Linked DNA regions of Drosophila melanogaster. The protein of the gene in region 3 interacts with the protein of the main gene of each other region in a pairwise test. Each region holds a gene or a part of one and is shown on either strand. Other genes may lie near its edges. The genes, in order: trus, Mfap1, Drep3 and CG42353.

Region 1 (3,971 bases), on a different chromosome or scaffold from region 3:
CCGTCCTGTGCAACTGGTGGAGTACTATCGCTACATTCGCTTTCTGCCCGATGGCAAGGTGCTGATGATGACGACTGCCGATGAGCCGGCGCAAGGTGTATCCAAACTGAAGCACGTGAACAACGTACGGGCGGAAATGCTTCGGGGTCGCTATCGTCTCTTCGGGAGCACAGTCACTCTGGTGCTGCAAAAGTCGCAGCAGCGAGGGCCGGCTAACGTGCGGCAGAGGCGAGGGAGTATCATGCCAGTGGATGAGGACTCCTCACAGTTCCTGATCGAGCTGCGCATCGCAGGCACCACCAAGCGCCGATGCGCCCAGTTGGTTTGGTCACATTACACGCTCGTGCAGAAGCGCAACAAGGTGGACATCAGCTCCGAGTTCGATTTGACCGAGGCCAAATATCCGGCGCTGAGGTTCTCAACCGTAAAGAGCTACCATCTTGATGCTGATGCACCATTGGCTTAGGTTAATTAGAATTAGAATGGATTTCTGCAAGTTGGAAATAAAACAATATGTTTTGAAACCCTTTTAGAGGGGGAGTGGAAATAACGAGATATTATTAGCAACTATCCATTTTTGGAGTGTCTAAAAGCTTACAACGTTCTTAACAACTAGAGCATAAAATCTTCCTAGGACAATCGAGAAGCTTAGCTTTATCTCTGCAGTTTGCGTTTAAAATTCGTTGCACCAGTCTGCAATCGTAGCGGCTACAGCGAATGACTCTAATGGCTTTGGGAAATGGCCGTGTACGGCACCTTAAGTTTCAGACTGAACCACAATATGTTCGTAGCGCATCAGGTCGGGTGTGTCCCAGCAGCTCTTGAGGCAGGTGAAGACCAGCACGTTGCCAAACTCGATTGGTGCATTGCAACCGTTCACCTGGAACCGCAGCTTGGGAATCAGTGTGGGCAGCAGCTGCACCTCGCAGATGGTCTCTCCCCTGCAATTCTGGCACTTGGGCAGAGGTTCCGTGAACGGGGCCACCAACAGCGGGATCGTATCCCGCGAATATCTGAAGCAGAACAACTTGGGTAAGAGGAAAGTTAATGAGGATAGAAGTACAATGTTTACCTCAACAGCTGGCCCGGATTCTGATGGATGGTAGTGATAAAGTTGTGAAACACCAAATCGCCATGGGCTGGCAATGCCTTCTCGTAGGACTCGTTCTCATCGCCCTGCTCTCCTGGTCCAGATGCACCGCCGGTCGGTGACTGACCCGGATTCTGGTCTCTCAGCTTGTACTCCTGATACAAATCACGAATGTGGTCCATGGACAAAGCGCCTCCGAAGTTTTCGTACTCCTCCGCCTGGGTCTTGTTCTCTACATCGACGGCAATATAGTAAGACTTTAGCGTTAGGTCCTTGATCTGCGACAGCGCACCCGAGGTGTGCTTCAACAAGGCAATCAGGTCGCGTTCCGGCTTCTTGGGCGTGTCGACCAGCACCAGATCCGTTTCGGGACCCTCGATCTCAGCACCAATGGCCGCTGAGGCGGCACTGGCTCCAGCTCCATCCAAACTGGGAGCGGCGGCCGCTGCACAATTAGCATTTGGATCATCGTCGGCGTTTTGCGGCGAGATCATGTCCATTTGATGAAAGCCAGAGATCAATTCGTTCTCCAGCGAAGTGCTCTCGTCCTCGTCGTCGTCATCATCGGCGGCAATCTTTACCTGCTCAAGTTTGGCTGGTTCATCTATTTGGATGTCTGACTTGGCGTACTGCAGGGCATTCGGTCGCACATTGCCATTCCGTTCGTTCTGGTCGTCGTCCGCGGTGATGTCCATAGCCTCGTCCAATGCCACGGAGATGGTCTTGGCCTGTTCGGTTGCTCCACCACTGCTGTCGCCCCAGTCGTCCGCTCCACTACACCAGCTGATAGCCTGCAATCCGCTCGACTTCCCCTTTTTTTTGGAGTTCTGCTTCTTAGTTGGCGTTGCCTTCGGCGAATGCTCACTGATCACCTCGTACTGGTGGTCCAGGTGCTGAGTGCGCACACAACACCAGCTCTTTGAATTCTGAGAGCAAACTGGGTTCATGCATCCAAAAACGTAAAGGCTGCGATGGAATTGGGAGCGATCCAGCGGGGCGTACATCTGCACGATCAGTGGACGCACTGCACCGCACAGCGGGCATGACGGAATGGTCACCTCGTGTCTGGGCCAATCCTGTGGGTAAAAATCAATTTCAATTATCCGCTGCCTCTATTGAAGTCGATGCAATCGCCTATCTTACGGGTGTGCCACCGATTTTGTTTGTGCAACTGTTCAGGAGCTGCTCCTGCTTGGCCGTAACCTCCTCATCCTCGTATCCTAGGTACACAGTCGACTTATTCTTGGCCATTTTTCATGGTTTCATTCAAGTCTTTCAAAATTGAATGATTTCTTTTAGGAATGGGCGAAATGAGTGCTCATGGGCAGACAACCGATAGTTGCACATGGTACTATCGATTTTAAAAGATATCGACTCATCGTAATCGAGTGTGCGAATTTCAAAGTATGAAATCTAGGCAGTTCAAAAATATATCAAATAGTTGAAAAATGAAATAAAAGCACAAAATTCTATTATTAATGAGTAGCACACAAGTAAGATCCATAACAACTATTATTTTCTTAAAATTCGTTATATATTTCTTATAATACTCCAAATTTGTGGTTTACTATCTTATATTTGCACAATCGCCGCTTAAAATAAATAAACGCACATATACAATACACACATATAAAAACATAGACAACTAGATTACAATTACGTTTTTTGGAATGCCAACATTAAAATACGTATATTTAGCAACAATAGCGCGCAACAACACTTATCAGTTATTGTCTAGGAAGACGACGCAGTCGCACGGATTTAAAGCATTCCGAGGAATTTAACAAACACGGACAAATGGCCCTAGCCCTAGAGTTCTAACAAGAACCTGCATCTAATACTCTAGATCCTCTGAGTCCCACAACGGAATTACTTCTCCAACGCCTCCTGCTCGCGGTGCTGCCGCTTGAAGCCCCACTCTACGAAGACGAAGGCAATGGTGCCAATGGTTCCCATAACCACCAGGATGCCCAGCTGCACGTACAGCCCGAAGTGCGAGGAGTAGAAGAAGCTAATGGCCGCCGCCACCGACTGGGTGAACTTGAACAGGGCAAAGGCTCCCACGGCATTGTTCACATACTCCCCGCCAAGCATGGAGTAGATCTGAGTGTTGAAACAGGCATCGCCCAGGCCCAAAAGGAAGGCACACACCAAGGCGATGCTGGCTCGGGGCGGGTCCAGATAGGATATATCGGTGGTATCTTTAAACGGTGCACTGTTCGGCAGGTTGATGAACGTCATGAAGAAGGCTGCCATGTGCATCACATAGCCGGCAATCACGATGGGATCGCGTCCATATCTCGTCGTCTTGTTGCCCAGTATGCCGAATAGTCCTCCTCCAAAGACCTCGCCGGCTCCAATGCAAATGCCCACCAGTCCAACGATCTCCTTCGGTGTTTCGGCTATTTTCGTGGTGAATCCAATCGCTGATCCAAAAACTCCGCTAAAGAATGACAGCTCCAGGCCTAGAAAGTTATGTTTAAGCACTTAGTATCTCTGATTCTATTCAGTTTTGACCACAATCCAACCCACCTGTGTAAAAGAAGGCCAGACTAAGGAGCAGCATCTTTTTGGTGAGGAACAATTGTCCTGCGGACTTCAATGCGTATATGGCCTGTCCACAGCCCGTGTGCTTCTGTTCCAGCTCGTTGTCGTGCTCGGCATTATCGGCCATGAATCTCAGTGCGGCCAGAAACACGATGCCCAGCACAGCAATTACCGTGAGCACGCCGATGACCAGATTCCGTGTCTCCTTGTCGATGCGGGTCTTGTCCTGGAACTGATAGTACACGAACAGATTCCCAATGAACATGCTGCACTGCAGCAGGGCCCAGAAGACGCCAGAGTTACGGGAAATCGTGGAAGATTCACTGCAGCGCGC
Region 2 (3,910 bases), on a different chromosome or scaffold from region 3:
CAACGTTCGAGGAGACCTACAAGTTCAAACCCTCCTCCGTACTGGAACACCCTCGCTTGCTGTATGGCTTGCACTTTATGCTCGGCAAAGACATAGTGCCAAAGGCCAACGAAATGAAAGGCAAGCCTAACTAGAAATCTTATTCCAACTAGTGGCTAATCGGTAATCTCCCACAGTCATCATTCACAGCGCCGGCGGCAAGGTTCATGCCCAACCGCCTTCGCTGGCCATCAGCGTGGATCTGTACGTGGTCACCACCAGCAAGGATACGAAATCTAAGCGACGTCTGAACAACTATGAAAAGGTGCACTTCATCAAAACCGAGGCTGTTATGCAGGCGCTCGTTCAACACAACATTGAAATGCTACAGGAGCACACGCTCAAACTTTAAACGTTATAGTTTTTTTTTTTGTGTGTTCTCCGCTTTTTGTTATCATTCGTTAGCCATTATTCCAAAATTGTACATCACACATCGAAGTCCCAGACGAAATCTCGTTCATACCTTAAACTTATGATATTTGTATTATATATAATTGTTTGTATATGAAGTTTTGGTTCCATCATAACTGTGGCCGCACAATATTTACTTGTTACTTTCCTAATGCCTGTCAAATACATCAATTACATACGTCTAACACTACTCCATCTTTTTTCGCTTCGAGCCGGTGGGCTTGTCAAACTGCTGCCTCATGCCGCCGGCGTGTTCGTTGTGGAACTTGATGTTGCTGGATGACTCGGCGTACCAGGGCGAGTCGAACTTGGTGGTGTCCTGGTCCACTAAATGAGTGTACTTGGTGCGGCCGCAGCGGCCGAAGTTCTTCACCTGCATCACCTTGGGCAGAATGGTCTTATCGAAGTGATCCTCCAGCGTGGCCTGGGCGAAGTCGCGCTTGAGGACGTCGTTCTCCTCATCCAGGTAGAAGGCACCACGATGATAGTACTTCTGCAGGAACTTGTACTTGCCCTTGGTGGCCTTGTTGGTGACCACCTTGGGGTTCTGGCGCAGCTCCTGGCGTCGCTCCTCTTCGGTCATGTTGCGCATGCGATCAATGTCCAGCTTCTCGCGTTCGACGCTGAAAGAAAAGGGAAAGAATTGTTAAAAAGGAATTCTAAGAGCAGTTTGATGTTCACTTACTTATCACGTTCCTCGCGATCCCGCTTCATTCGCTTGAGTTCACGCAGCTTCCAGGCCTCGTATTCCACCTCGTCGTTTTCGTCGTCCGTGCACACGTCCTCGATGCAGGCCTCATTGGTCTCCGGCTTGGTCTTCTCCAGATCTTTCTTGACGCTCTCCTCGACCATTCGCAGGGTGGCTCTTCTGCGCTCCTTGGCTGCCCGCTTGGCCTCCGCCTCCAGCTGCTTCTGCTTCTGAGCCTCTCGCTCCTTCTCCTGGATGGTGGCACGATCTCTCTTTCGGACGAAGAGCGGCTTCAGGCGGGGTTCGTTGTCCTCCTCGCTTTCGGTCTCCTCCTCGTACTCGGAGCTTTCTGATTCGGACGATTCCGACTGTTTCTCATCCTCTTTCTGTAGAACCTCCTCCTCGCGCTGCTGCTGCAGCATGCGGGATCTCAGCTTGGTGCGCCGGTTCTCCAGCTCTGTGTCGCTGAGCTCCGCATCCGTGTCGGATTCGGATGCCAGTGTGATCTTATTGGTGCCCCGCTGAATCGCTCCCTGTGCTCCCTCGTCTTCCTCCTCGTCTTCGCTGTCACTCTCCATGATTTCCGGTTCGTGGATGTGTCGGTGGCGTTCCCTCCGCTCACGTTCCATGTCCTCCATGTCTACGGGTCGCTGCCGCAATCTTCGGAGGCGTGGATCGTCCACCTCGGCATCGTCCTCCTCCTGGCCCTCACCCGCCGCCCGCTCTTCGCCCTCCGCGCTGCCGCCTTGACGGGAGAGCTCCAGCTTATGCCGTTCCGCCTTGTGGCGCTCAAGGCGCTTCCTGGTGTCAATGAAGTCATCGTCGTCGCTCTCCTCCGAACTGGAGTCCGCACGGGCGTAGTCGGGTCGCTTACCGGATATGTATCGCTGCACCTTCACCTTTTGCATGGACAATTCACCTATTGAAGAGATATGCAGCTTATAAACAATTTCTGGTGAGGATCGAGCTTCGCTGTTTACCTTTCTCATTGCGCATGGGAATGGCGCCCGCTGTGCTCTGGATCCCAGAAGCGGCGGCGGCGGCGGTGGCTGCACTCATCGTGGTTTTAACTTATAATCCACGGGTAATAAGCAAATCTTTGTATTTATTCCTTGTAAATATTTCCTAAATAAAAGTATGGTAAATTAGAGATGGACAAAAGTATCTGAAAATAATCGATACTTTGCTTACAAATATTATCGATGCCTATGCAGCTCAGCAAAACCAGAGTGGCAACGCTATCGAACAAGGCCCGCAATTTGAAATATTAAGAAAGTTTTACTACATATATATGGTGAATATTGAATTGCAATGACGGAAGTGCGATGACTTCGCAAAGCCAGAATTAAGGCCAGCAACTAATTGAGACATTCGATAATTGAAAATATTAATACACAGAAAGAAATGGAGCAATTTATTGTTAGACAACTATATATTGGAAAAAACTATTGAAAGTAAGAAATTCATTTTCATTTAAGCTTTTTTGGATTGCAAAAAATTTAAACATATATATTGGGTTCCTTGGTGAAAAGGAAAATGTTCTTTTCTGTGCTGTTTTTATAAACAAGTGTTTTAGCAATGTCAACGCCCACTCTCATTAGTAAATTAATTGACTACTACGCTTTCTCCAATTCCCATACGATGGATAGAGGGAGGACGGAGGAGGGGTGCTTGATCTTGTGTAATGCCGGAATCGAATCCAAAATTCTTTTTATTGGTATTGCGTATTTTCAGTTTCGACAGCACGCAGCCAGCACGTGTGAAGATTGTCTTGTAATGTTTGAAAAACCGTTCGGATCTGATGTGATGTGATTTGATACCCACCCAACCGGACCAAAGTCCGAAAGAACCACTTGGCGGACGAGGGGCTCGACCAGTTTTGTGACGTCTTCGGCCACTTGCATCCGAGGAACAGAGTTAGCTGGATTTGCTTTGGATATGGATGGGGATGGGGATTTGGAATGGAATGGAATTGGAATGGCATGGGATGGGATCGTTTCGGGCCTAAACACCGAGACGCATTTGCCGAACTGCTTTTAACTGCTTTTCGTCGGCTGAGGTAGTTGAATGGCCAAGATTTACATGAGACTGTTAGTTAACGACATGGCGGGCATATTTAATTAATGCAACACGCTTCATGCTTAAGTGCATATCTGCCTAGCTAACTCACTGACCTTTAGAAAAATGGGCGTCGATTTGGTGACTTTCCGCTTGGGGGGAAGTACCTGCTGAATATTTGGAGACCCCCTTTCTTTTTGCCACTACATACTAGATATGTACATACATTTTACATTTATCAATTTATTGCGATTTGAACTCTTTTTGAACTGACCGGCGCCGTTTCAGTTCAAATTTAAATTCAAACTGGGAATACATTTCAATTAGAATTAAACACCCACACTGGCGCACAGGAATTGTAAACAAATAATTTTCTATTAGCGGGAGAAAGAGTGTCATTCCTGATCAAAATCGTACCAGATCGAACTCGTTATCGTTATCCAAGTAAAACACCACATAGCCAGCAATTGAGGCGAGGCGACAAGTGTACAAAAAACGAAAGATATAATCGTTTCCATTATTAATTGGCGCACTTTTTGCCTTTGTGACTCGAGTTACTTAAAAAGTAATAAAGGGTGAGACAAATGGAAATATTTACACATCACGCAATCCCAAACTGGCCAAGAACCAGCAATTAAACTTTTATGTTTGTTTACAGCGCATTTCACTTGGCTCAACTTGCCACAATTAACAATCGCCATCGAGGGATATGCA
Region 3 (4,828 bases):
AGCACTGCTATGAGTTTTCAGTTCAGCGGTAGATCTAAACCAATTTAACCTTGTGAGTAAACCAAACTGCAAATCAGTCATGGTAACCATCGAATTAATTGAACTATCTGATATTAAGTAGAAGAGATGCAAATTATTTTCATACCGAGAAGAACCTAAGGGCCAATACGTGAACACAGGATATTATTAACCCTACCTCACGCATTCATGTGTTGGCCTCTGACTACCAACCCTTTCCTTAATTTTCACTCTCATTTAGTTGTTTCTGGAATTAGTCAAAGGGATTATATCTCCAGGATTATATCATCCAGTGTTTTTAATCAGAACCTTGGCAATTTCCCCGAGAGCTCGATAAAGAAGATGCCCGTGTCAGATGGCAGACAAGATGGAGGCTTATTAATTAGCTGGAATGCGCATGAATTACGCATACGTCACGTGGCCCACGCTCACCCATCATCATCATCATCACCGGTCGGTTGCCACTGACAAATGACATCGCGTTTCGGCCACGTCAAGCCGTCAATTAATTGCTTTCGCCTGGCAAATTTACAGCCACTTGATATCTCGTAGACGCCGATCTTTTGGCCAGTTTATATTGTTATGGCCATCGCTCTGATGCCGTTAACACACAATACATCGATTAGGGTGTTCAGCTGGCGTGGCCAAGACACCTACTTATAGTTATCGCCGCCCACACAGACGCCACAAGGCGGCTTAGATGTGGGCGTGGCACTGGAGGCGATTGGCGGAATGGCTGGATGATTGGCCAGCTGGCTGGCCCACAATGATATACGAGACAATTGGGCGCCCGCATCCTGATCCCACTACCCTATGCAACTGAACAGTTTGAACATTTTAATTAAATTTTCATTGTTGACCAGCCACACAGGCAAAAAATTTGCAAGAAGCTAATCTGAGTAGAGGGTGAAATATGGTCTATACTATATTGTATTGATAGTGTTAGTGATTTACTGAGCATGGCTTACTATAAGTGGGTAATTGGATATAGGATCATCAAAATAAGGACATTCAAGTTCAATTAAGTTAAATCATATCAATACTAAACAGAATCGTTTTATTCTTGCAAGTGTCGATGTGTTGTATCTTTCACACACAGTTTTTAGAGTTAAAAGTTTCGTAAATAGGTAAACGGATGCGTAAATTGTTTCGTAAACTTTGCAGAATTGACAGCGACTATTTGTGACCCTAATCATTTCTTTCTGTGCTCCAAATTGGGCAGGGCCACGCAATCCTCACAATCAAATGGAGTTTGCCATGGTGAAGGCAGTGCGGAGTGGGCTGCTGGTAGGGCAAAAGGAAACAGCTCTGTTTTCCCGGATTTTTTCCCGCACCAACTCTTGCAGCGAATTGAAAAGTTGGACGAATGCTTAAAGGGCGAATAAAGCACCGGTAGCAACACTTCAGCAGCAGTGCCAATGTCGATGATGCCACTCAACGCCGAAGGCTTTGAAGTGGCCGTTCCGTCGGGGAACCCTTCACTTTGTTCGTCCTGACCGTCAAACTTTTTCCTCCATTTTCAGTTTAATTTTTTCTATTTTTTTTTTACTATATACCCATCAAGCGTAACAATAGCACCGCAGTAATCACTTAACGAAATGCTGGCCCAGATGACGGGGCGCCAGGTAGCGTGGCTAAATGCCACAAAGGACATGAAGGATGTGCGAGTAGCGAGTGGAATACCCACCTTGAAGGGCTTGCTGTTGTCCAGCTGGGCGAAATCCTCGTCGGCGGTGGTGGGCGAGGGCGTGGGCGTGGCGCTGCTGTGCGGCGATAGGGCCAACTCCAAGGTGATGCTATCCGCCGCATCGTCCAAACCATCGTCGGCATCTAACTCGATGTCCTCGCAGTCCGCGTCCAGTTCGGCCGTCCTTGTCAGAGTCCGCTGCCTGGGCGGCGGAGCCACTATTCTGCTATCAGGATCACACTGTACTCCTGCTGCAGCTGCTGCTCCATCGCTCTCCTTCTTCTGCTCCCTCTCCGGTTCCTGCTCCTCCTCAGCTCCTTGAGGCATTCCAGCCAGCTTTGTCTCATCCGCATTCATTGCTGTCATGTATTTACCTCGTCTCGAGAGTTTGTTCGCCTTGTCTGGACTCCTTGCTGCACTGGTTGAAAAACATGGTCGAAAGAGAAAGAGATTTATGACGAGCAAAACAAATTTAGACGATAATTGAAATATGCTGTATGGCATTCGGGGATGCTTTCAAAGCTGAGCCAAGCATACTAAAACTGCCAGACTTTGTGTTATTGTTATTTCATATACGCGTGTACGTTGTTTGCTTCGACCGGAAAATTTATAACGAAATCGTTGTTTGGCCTTTGTTTTGGCTTTGATTTAAAAAAGTTTTGCAATTGCTGAAATTGCTTGACCTTAAAGCCACATAGAAAACGAAGTTTATAGAGACCAAAAAAAAAAGAAGGAGACCATGGAATGTTATTGCATTACAATTTCACCATCGGCTCTTTAAATACTGTACATTTTTACCAACGACTTAAAAAAAATATCTACAAAATATTATTATTTTTTTAATTTTATATAGTAATGTAATTTGCACTATTTCAATTTTGGTGTCCTGTATTTGATAGTAAAGCTCCATATATGACGATGCAGAAACGTGTTTAGAGTTTTTCAAACGAATATAATTGGCCAACTTTTTTGTTTGGTAAAACTTCATTTAAATTTATAGAGGCAATTATAAGTCTAAAAGAATATAGTTTGCATGTGCTTGCTTGTTGTTTTTTATCATGAAAGCTAAACTAATTATTTTCCATAATTTCCACAAGCCTCTTTTAGACAAAAAGATAGTTGGTTTATATACTCTGAACTCTAGAAGCAACATTTTGTTTCTCATTACCGTGCACTTTAAGTTAAAAACCGAATTCTTCACATCTTCCGGCAACAATTACAATACGCGATTCTGGCTGAGATCGCGAGCCGACTACTCACAGCAGCCAAGTGCAACAAAAGCCGGCCGAACTTGGAATAAATTGCCAGACGTCTGTGCGTGCTGTATTTAAACGTGGCAGGACTCGTCGAGTTTGCCGACAGCCTCGGCCAGCGCAAACACACACGGCGCAAAGTCAGCAGGTCCTGCAAACACACAGCAAAGTCTAACCTTCGCGGAGCTTTGGCCGTGAGAGCAGGACACTCGCAAAGAGAGGCAAAGAGAGAGAGAGAGAGAGAGAGCGAGCGCTCTGTTAAGGCTCCTGTTAGCCAGGACACGCTGGGCGTGCCGGGCCAGAAGCATAGACCCTATGCCGGATAAAGTAAAGTTGGCACAAAAGAACTCTGGCCTGGGATCGGGATTCTATGACCTGGAAGGTGGGAAAAGTTTACTGGAGCAGCTGCAAATAGTTCTACTTAGCCGGGACCACAAGAAGATAAAAACGAATACAAACAGCACAGTGTATTTGCGGGGCGTGATGGCAAATATAAATATTTTAGCCTGAACTTTCAGGCGCTTAAGGGCAAAGTTTAAAAATGCAATAAAAATAAAGTTTGCAATTTCGGCGAAAAACTCTGGCGTCCAGCTGAAAAATGTCACTTCGGCATAATGAGACTGCTGCTGGCTGCATAATTAAAGCATCCCAGAGCTGGGCAAAAGTTTTCAACAAAGGTGCATTGCCTTTGAGGGCGAGACAAAAGCCGAGATTTATTGGCATTTGCATTGGCGGAATATTTAAAATGCATGAGACGCTGTACGTCGATCGAATTTGTTCGCATTGGGAGCAAACAAAGCCACTTAGCTGCATTTATCACAGCACTGGGCTTAAATGGCTGAAATATTGCGCATACGCCGCGTGAGCCAAGGTTAATTTGATTGCGCCCGCTTACGGAAGTTCGGCATTGAACATGGACTGAGCACGTGATTCCAACTGCAGTCACGTGATGGATAACAATATATCTGTGGGCCTGTTATCTCGTTTACGCATTTTGAGCCTGGTCCTTGTCCCAACTACCTGAAGTGCATACTTTAGGCCCAAGCGGATTCGGATTGCTGGGCGAATTTTGCACGCTCATCTGTTTATTCGCCCTGCTGGGCATTCATTTCCGTCCGCCATTTTCCATTTCCCATTTTCCCCCGCCGGCGGGTCAAATAATTTATGGGCCATGGTCCGCTAATTGCGCATTGAAGCGCGGCGCGAACAACTATTCGCATTTCGCATATGCAGCATGCTGGTCCTGCTGCAGGACCTCCATCGCCATCAATTTAAATGCATAGGTGCAAATTGAAATTTATGCGTCTGGTCGCGAAGGTAAATTCCCTTCATCATCAGCTGCCATGTTTAATTGCGATGCACGACCTTGGCCGTCTGGCCAGTTAGATTAATTAACTCACATGTCGTCGGAAAGGTCATGCCGCCGCATGTGGCGATGATAAATGGCCTCTGATCCTGGTCCTTGGATATGTGGCACTTTTCGCCAAAAACTCGTCAGGCGAAAAACACATAAGGCAGTGGTACGGGTAAATGCCAAATATTTGCGCCTGCTGTCAGCAGTCTAAATGAAATTAAATGGAAAAAAATAGCATTTCGATGCGGGGCAAACCAAAAATGTATAAAAGAAAATGGCAAACATTTTAATTAAATTAAAATAAATGTGAAATGGAAAATAATGAGAGAAAAAAAGCACTGGCATCGACCTTGCCGCCATGTAACAAGCAATTACATTTCCCCCCCTTAATGGCATACTTCATTATTTTGTGTATTTCCTGTGTAAGGATACCTACGTGCAACGGTCCTGGCCATAATTGGTTTAATGGCCAGCAAGCCTGTGCGTATTTGCACTATATCGGTTAATGGCTTAATA
Region 4 (5,028 bases), on a different chromosome or scaffold from region 3:
GATGAGTGAGTGGCAAATGGTGCCGGTCGCCAACCGCTGAATGCGGGGGCATTTGATTTTCCAATTGATTTGAATACAGAAGCAGAAGCAGAAGCAGGCGGCTGTGATAATTTGAAAACGATTGACTTTTGTAGTTCTCCGGCGACCGCATGTCGGCGTCGTCTAATAAGGCCTGAAAAAAAAAGGGTTGCCTCATCGTCATCATCGTCATCATCATCATCATCATCATCAGCAGTAACTTGAGCAACAGACTCTAAAAAGTAACTGAAGCCAAATGTGAAGCTACGAAAGAAGCCAACCGAAATGGTGGCAAAAAGGCAATTAAAAAGAAACGACTGAACGAGAGAGTGAGCAGTTTTAAGTAAATTTGTATACATATGTAGTATACTCCCGGGTCTCATGATATTTCACACGAATTTTGATAACTTAGATAAGGCTGATGTAATAAATTCATTTATATTATAAGAAGCTAAATACCCTTGAAATAAACGAATCAGCAAATGGAAAAATAGGCATTAAAGGTGAATATTAAATGTTAGTTCATAAAGATCATCAAATGAAATAGAAAATATAACAAAAGCAATTAGAATTTAAGATTCACAATTTTTCGCGAACGTTCTAATACGCCCGCAGGTAGGCAACATCTTTTGCAACATTTTTGTGCTTTTTGGTGGCTAGAGGATATCCACAATTCGGCTATTCCGAACATAATTCTTTCCCGGCGCATTTTTTTTTTTCGCTGAGCAAGGGCCTCGTCATCGTCTTGCCAAACTCGCATGTTGGCAAGATACACACATATATGGATGTACGAATGTACATACATACGTACGAAAGGTTGTAGCTGTGAGTAATTCCGAAGGTTGAGGCATACTAAAATGCACATTCGATCGGTGTTTTGTTAAAGTAAAGCCTGTTAGTACATACGTTGTTCCCCGGGCAGCTGCTTCGCATCGATCGCTTTTTTATTATTATTATTTTTTTTTCGCCTTCAGCTTGCAAAAGATTAAGCCCTCTGATAAGATAGCACCCATTATCTAAGCAAACACACCAATACACGCGCAAGTGTACTCGCCACAGTACTCGCTTATAATAATTTGAATTCTAATCAGAACGGTAGAGGGGGATGGAGAGACTCCAATCAGAGACCTTCCCAGTCAGACTGTTCGAAAAAAAAAATTACAATTTTCCACGTTGTTAATTTATGCCAAATACACACGTACATACAAACGTTAGTGTAAGTTTTTGCATAGAATTTAGCAATGGAATGACCGCGAAATTGATATGTTATTATTGTGTTTAAATTGTTGTATAAGTTTCTAGGTTTACCATAAATGGTGCTTCATAATTATTTTATTCAGTTGGCTTTTTTTTCCCCCCCGAAAGCAGGACTATTCAGTATCTAGAGTCAAGAAGCCATTTAAAGAAACCACGTCAAAGCCAAAATATTTAACACATCTGCATTGGGTTTCGAACTTGCGAAATTTGGATGCGCTGGCGCTAACAAGATTATTTTGTATGAAAAACTGCACCCACTTAATACATATGTAGATATGTATGAATGTATGTATGTACATATGTCTTGAGAGCGAAATAACCCCTTGAACAAATCACACGAAAAGTTAACGAAATCGTACACTGCGTAGGTTATGAAAAATGTTAATAAATGGTTGTATTTAATAAAAAAAAAACATGTGAAAACAAGCAAACATTTTACTGAAAAATATGACTATTTTGAAATATTGTATCCCAAAGAGCCCAACCCTCCTCAAATCTTATAAATTCGAATGTGTGTGTGTGTGTGTGCTGTTGTGTGTTTTTTTAGTGTACCTTTACGGTCCATAGCATGGATCGATTTATGGCATAAATTTACCCTTACCACCACGGAATTGGGAATTGCATCCCTAATTCCGCATGGAGTCTCGTTCCAAATAGATTTTGGATTTTGTGTTCCCAAAATGAATCAGTGTCCGTTCCGATTTGGGAAGAGCCCGTATTGAAGGCAACTGTGAAAGACATTAAACTGCAGCCGCTGCTCTCATTTGCTTTTGCTTTTTTTTTTCTGATTGGACCTAGGTTTTCTTGCTTTTTCTGCCTTTTTGCTTTCGTCATTGTTATGGTTATTTGCTGTTGCTATTGCCGTTGCGCACAGTTGGGTTAATATTTCGAAAATAAGCCATAATTGTGTGTCTCAGCCACCATTTTGTGGTTTTAGTTGAGTTTGAGTTTGTGCTTGCTTTGGTTATTTCCTTCATTTTTTTTTGTTATTTTTTACATATATTTCTTTTTTACGTTTAATGCTTAGTGCGCCTCGTTTTTTCCGTTGGTTTGGCAGCTAGACGGCCAAAGTGTGAGTTCGGATTGGAGTTCATTCACCGCGCAGTAACTGACGGATGCCAATAAGAATATCCCAGATCCCAGTTGGTCTTGAAGAAAACCCCCAACGTTATTTCGTTTTTTTTTTTTCACAAACTCTTGCTTTAACCCGCACTCACTCACGAATACAACAAAAACAAAAACAACAACAACAACAACAACAAAAAGATACAAAATCATACAGATACACACACTCGCACTAACGTTCGTTCACACACACAACCACTATAAACAATCGGCGGTGGTTGAGATCCCCAAAAACCCCTCCCCCACCGAACCAACGAACCACCACTGTTTTTATGTTTCTCTGTTTTGAGTATTATTAATTTCGCCGTACATCGGTGGTACAATGTGTGTTACAAAGCCAAAAAGCCCGAAAAAAAAATAAATGAAAAACAGTCGAATATTTTGTCGTACTTGATGGTAAAGTAAATATAACACACAGATGCAAAGGCGGTTAGACATACAGGGCCAATATACAGATACTATCCGTATATACGGTGTGATTGTATTTGACTTTATTTAACGACAATTACCTAAACAAACGTGAACAATAGAATAGCGGCGGTACGACGACGCGCACTTAACAACAAAAAGTACTCCGGCGTTCGGGAACGGGAAAACCAAACAAAAAAATAACACGTCCGCTCACCACAAGATTTCAAAGTTGACTGCGACAGCAACGATTTTTTTTGCGGCAAATGGAATCCACAATACGATCCACTTTTAATAACATAGGCTTCTCTTAAAGCGTTGTATTTGTATTCATTGTATCTGCAGCGCTACCGGACTGGCGAGATTTCGTTCTGGCTTAAGTTAAGATTTCCGGCTGACCTGGCCTACACCGAAAGAAACGGGTGAAATTGGCATATATCTTATCATATTAATTGAATCAGAAGATTGTTTTAATTTCGTATATTCTTATGGCTAAAGAAATGTTTTTAAATTAAATGTTTATAACGTAGGATGTATAAATAACAATTTGTTCTTAACAAGCCACTGCAATGGTCCTTGTCGACGAACCAAAAATATACTTGCCAACTTTCAAATAATGGGTATACAAAATTATACAGGAGATTTCTTAACGTGTTGCTTATTTTGGTTCTATTTTTTCAAGTAAGGATATTTTAAGGCGTTGCCACAAGTTCGACCTATGATGTTGCCAGCAGCATGGAATAAGAATGCTGAGAATTCAAATTATGAAATTTATTAAAAGTAAGAAATGAAATTATTTGGCTCTTAAAAAAATAAATTTAAAAGAATGTTTAGTATGTGCTGAATGGAAATAATGGTAATTTAACAAAATATACTGAAAACACGTCAATTTAAAAAATATCACACCTTAAAATCGTTAGCCTTAATATCGGTTTTTTTTGCCATGTGCCTTAAAATAAATTTAGATAACATTTTTTTGTAAAATGTTACATATTCAATTAAGCGTTTCGAACCCATTTGGAACCACTTCTTTTAAGGCTACATGAGACTTTCTACAAATATTGTATTTCCGCAATGTAGGTTTGTTACGGCTAAAACTTATTGTTTAAGCAAAATCAGTGGATATGGCAACGCTCGTAAGAAATTATAGAAATATGTGAAGCGCCATCCAGCGGATAGTGCAAGTTCTGCAAAAGCGCGCGTAGTAGCTATTTTTGGAGACTAAACTACCGCCATCTGTTGGTGTTTATTCAAAACAGACGTAAAAAAGTATGTTACACAAAATAAATTTTTTGTGTAGTTACTATATTTTTAGGGTTGACTAGCGTTGTGCTATTTTTCAGTAATAACAATAAAATAAATAGTGATCGCTAGATAAAGCTAGGGCTAATCAAACTGAAAAACGAAATAAAATTGATTATGTTTATCTGTAGTTTATGCAGACAAATAAGTAAACTAACTACACTATTTCACAATTTGCCTTACAAGTAAAAAATGAAACCAGCAAAATTTACTTGAAATCGGCATAACTAATCGCAATTGTTTGGTTAGTTGTTAGTTGGCTTATGAATTAAGTTTTGAGTTCTTAAAAAATCATTTAATTTTAATCTTAAATCACTATGTATCAATTCCATTACAATTCCAATTCACTAACTTTCAACTATACTTTGGTTGTTTTTGTACTTTATACTTAATATGCTTTTCTATTTATGACACCGATATTAAGCAATTATGTACCATGCCATTTACAGAGCAAAACAGAGCTTCTCCTCGAGCCATCCTCTCTCCTTTGGATTAGTGTGAGAACTGTTTCAAAAGGCGATTTTGCGGGCATGCCCCCTTTTGCAGATCCGTGGACAATGCCAAGGGCATGGCCTCCGTTCGCTTAACTGGCAATCTGCGCGTAATGATGGTTTCAGGATTTAGTCGGCCAATCAATCGATGGTCGCATAGAGTTTAACAATTCCATGGTGCGCTTAATTCGGGGGTTCGGTTACGGTACTCGAATTGGGCGATTTCGATGGCGAATGGAATGGACTGAACTGAACTGAACTGAACTGCACTGCACTGGATGGACTGTTGTCTGGTTTGTGGTGTTTTAGGTGCCGGGATTTCGCATCAGCCTCATATGCATATGCATATACTTTTTTATTTCACAAGACGGAAATTTTCGTTTTTCGTCTTTGGCTTTAGCTTTGGTATTAGCAGCGACTTTGACTT

The links.
Region 1: the proteins of Drep3 (region 3) and trus interact in a two-hybrid assay, tested with the Drosophila melanogaster proteins (one large-scale study listed by BioGRID).
Region 2: the proteins of Drep3 (region 3) and Mfap1 interact in a two-hybrid assay, tested with the Drosophila melanogaster proteins (one large-scale study listed by BioGRID).
Region 4: the proteins of Drep3 (region 3) and CG42353 interact in a two-hybrid assay, tested with the Drosophila melanogaster proteins (one large-scale study listed by BioGRID).

The regions. Positions count from the first base shown.
Region 1 is NT_033777.3:12,454,994-12,458,964, reverse strand, and holds trus (toys are us), read right to left. Parts: upstream 2,393-3,971; 5' UTR 2,342-2,392; coding exon 2,234-2,341; intron 2,167-2,233; coding exon 1,073-2,166; intron 1,014-1,072; coding exon 758-1,013; 3' UTR 521-757; downstream 1-520. Other genes in the region: CG5961 (uncharacterized protein), read left to right, coding at 1-466; CG18549 (uncharacterized protein), read right to left, coding at 2,960-3,555, 3,623-3,971.
Region 2 is NT_037436.4:1,939,463-1,943,372, reverse strand, and holds Mfap1 (Microfibril-associated protein 1), read right to left. Parts: upstream 2,306-3,910; 5' UTR 2,198-2,305; coding exon 2,119-2,197; intron 2,058-2,118; coding exon 1,136-2,057; intron 1,074-1,135; coding exon 638-1,073; 3' UTR 501-637; downstream 1-500. Other genes in the region: mu2 (mutator 2), read left to right, coding at 1-120, 177-391. UniProt on the Drosophila melanogaster protein: Required for pre-mRNA splicing.
Region 3 is NT_033778.4:12,053,264-12,058,091, reverse strand, and holds the start of Drep3 (DNA fragmentation factor-related protein 3), read right to left. Parts: upstream 3,004-4,828; 5' UTR 2,874-3,003; intron 2,124-2,873; exon of another isoform or gene 2,119-2,123; 5' UTR 2,072-2,118; coding exon 1,706-2,071; exon of another isoform or gene 1,545-1,705; intron 1-1,544. Other genes in the region: CG44314 (uncharacterized protein), read right to left, coding at 4,823-4,828.
Region 4 is NC_004354.4:16,101,895-16,106,922, forward strand, and holds the start of CG42353 (uncharacterized protein), read right to left. Parts: upstream 3,053-5,028; 5' UTR 2,910-3,052; intron 1,160-2,909; exon of another isoform or gene 925-1,159; intron 1-924.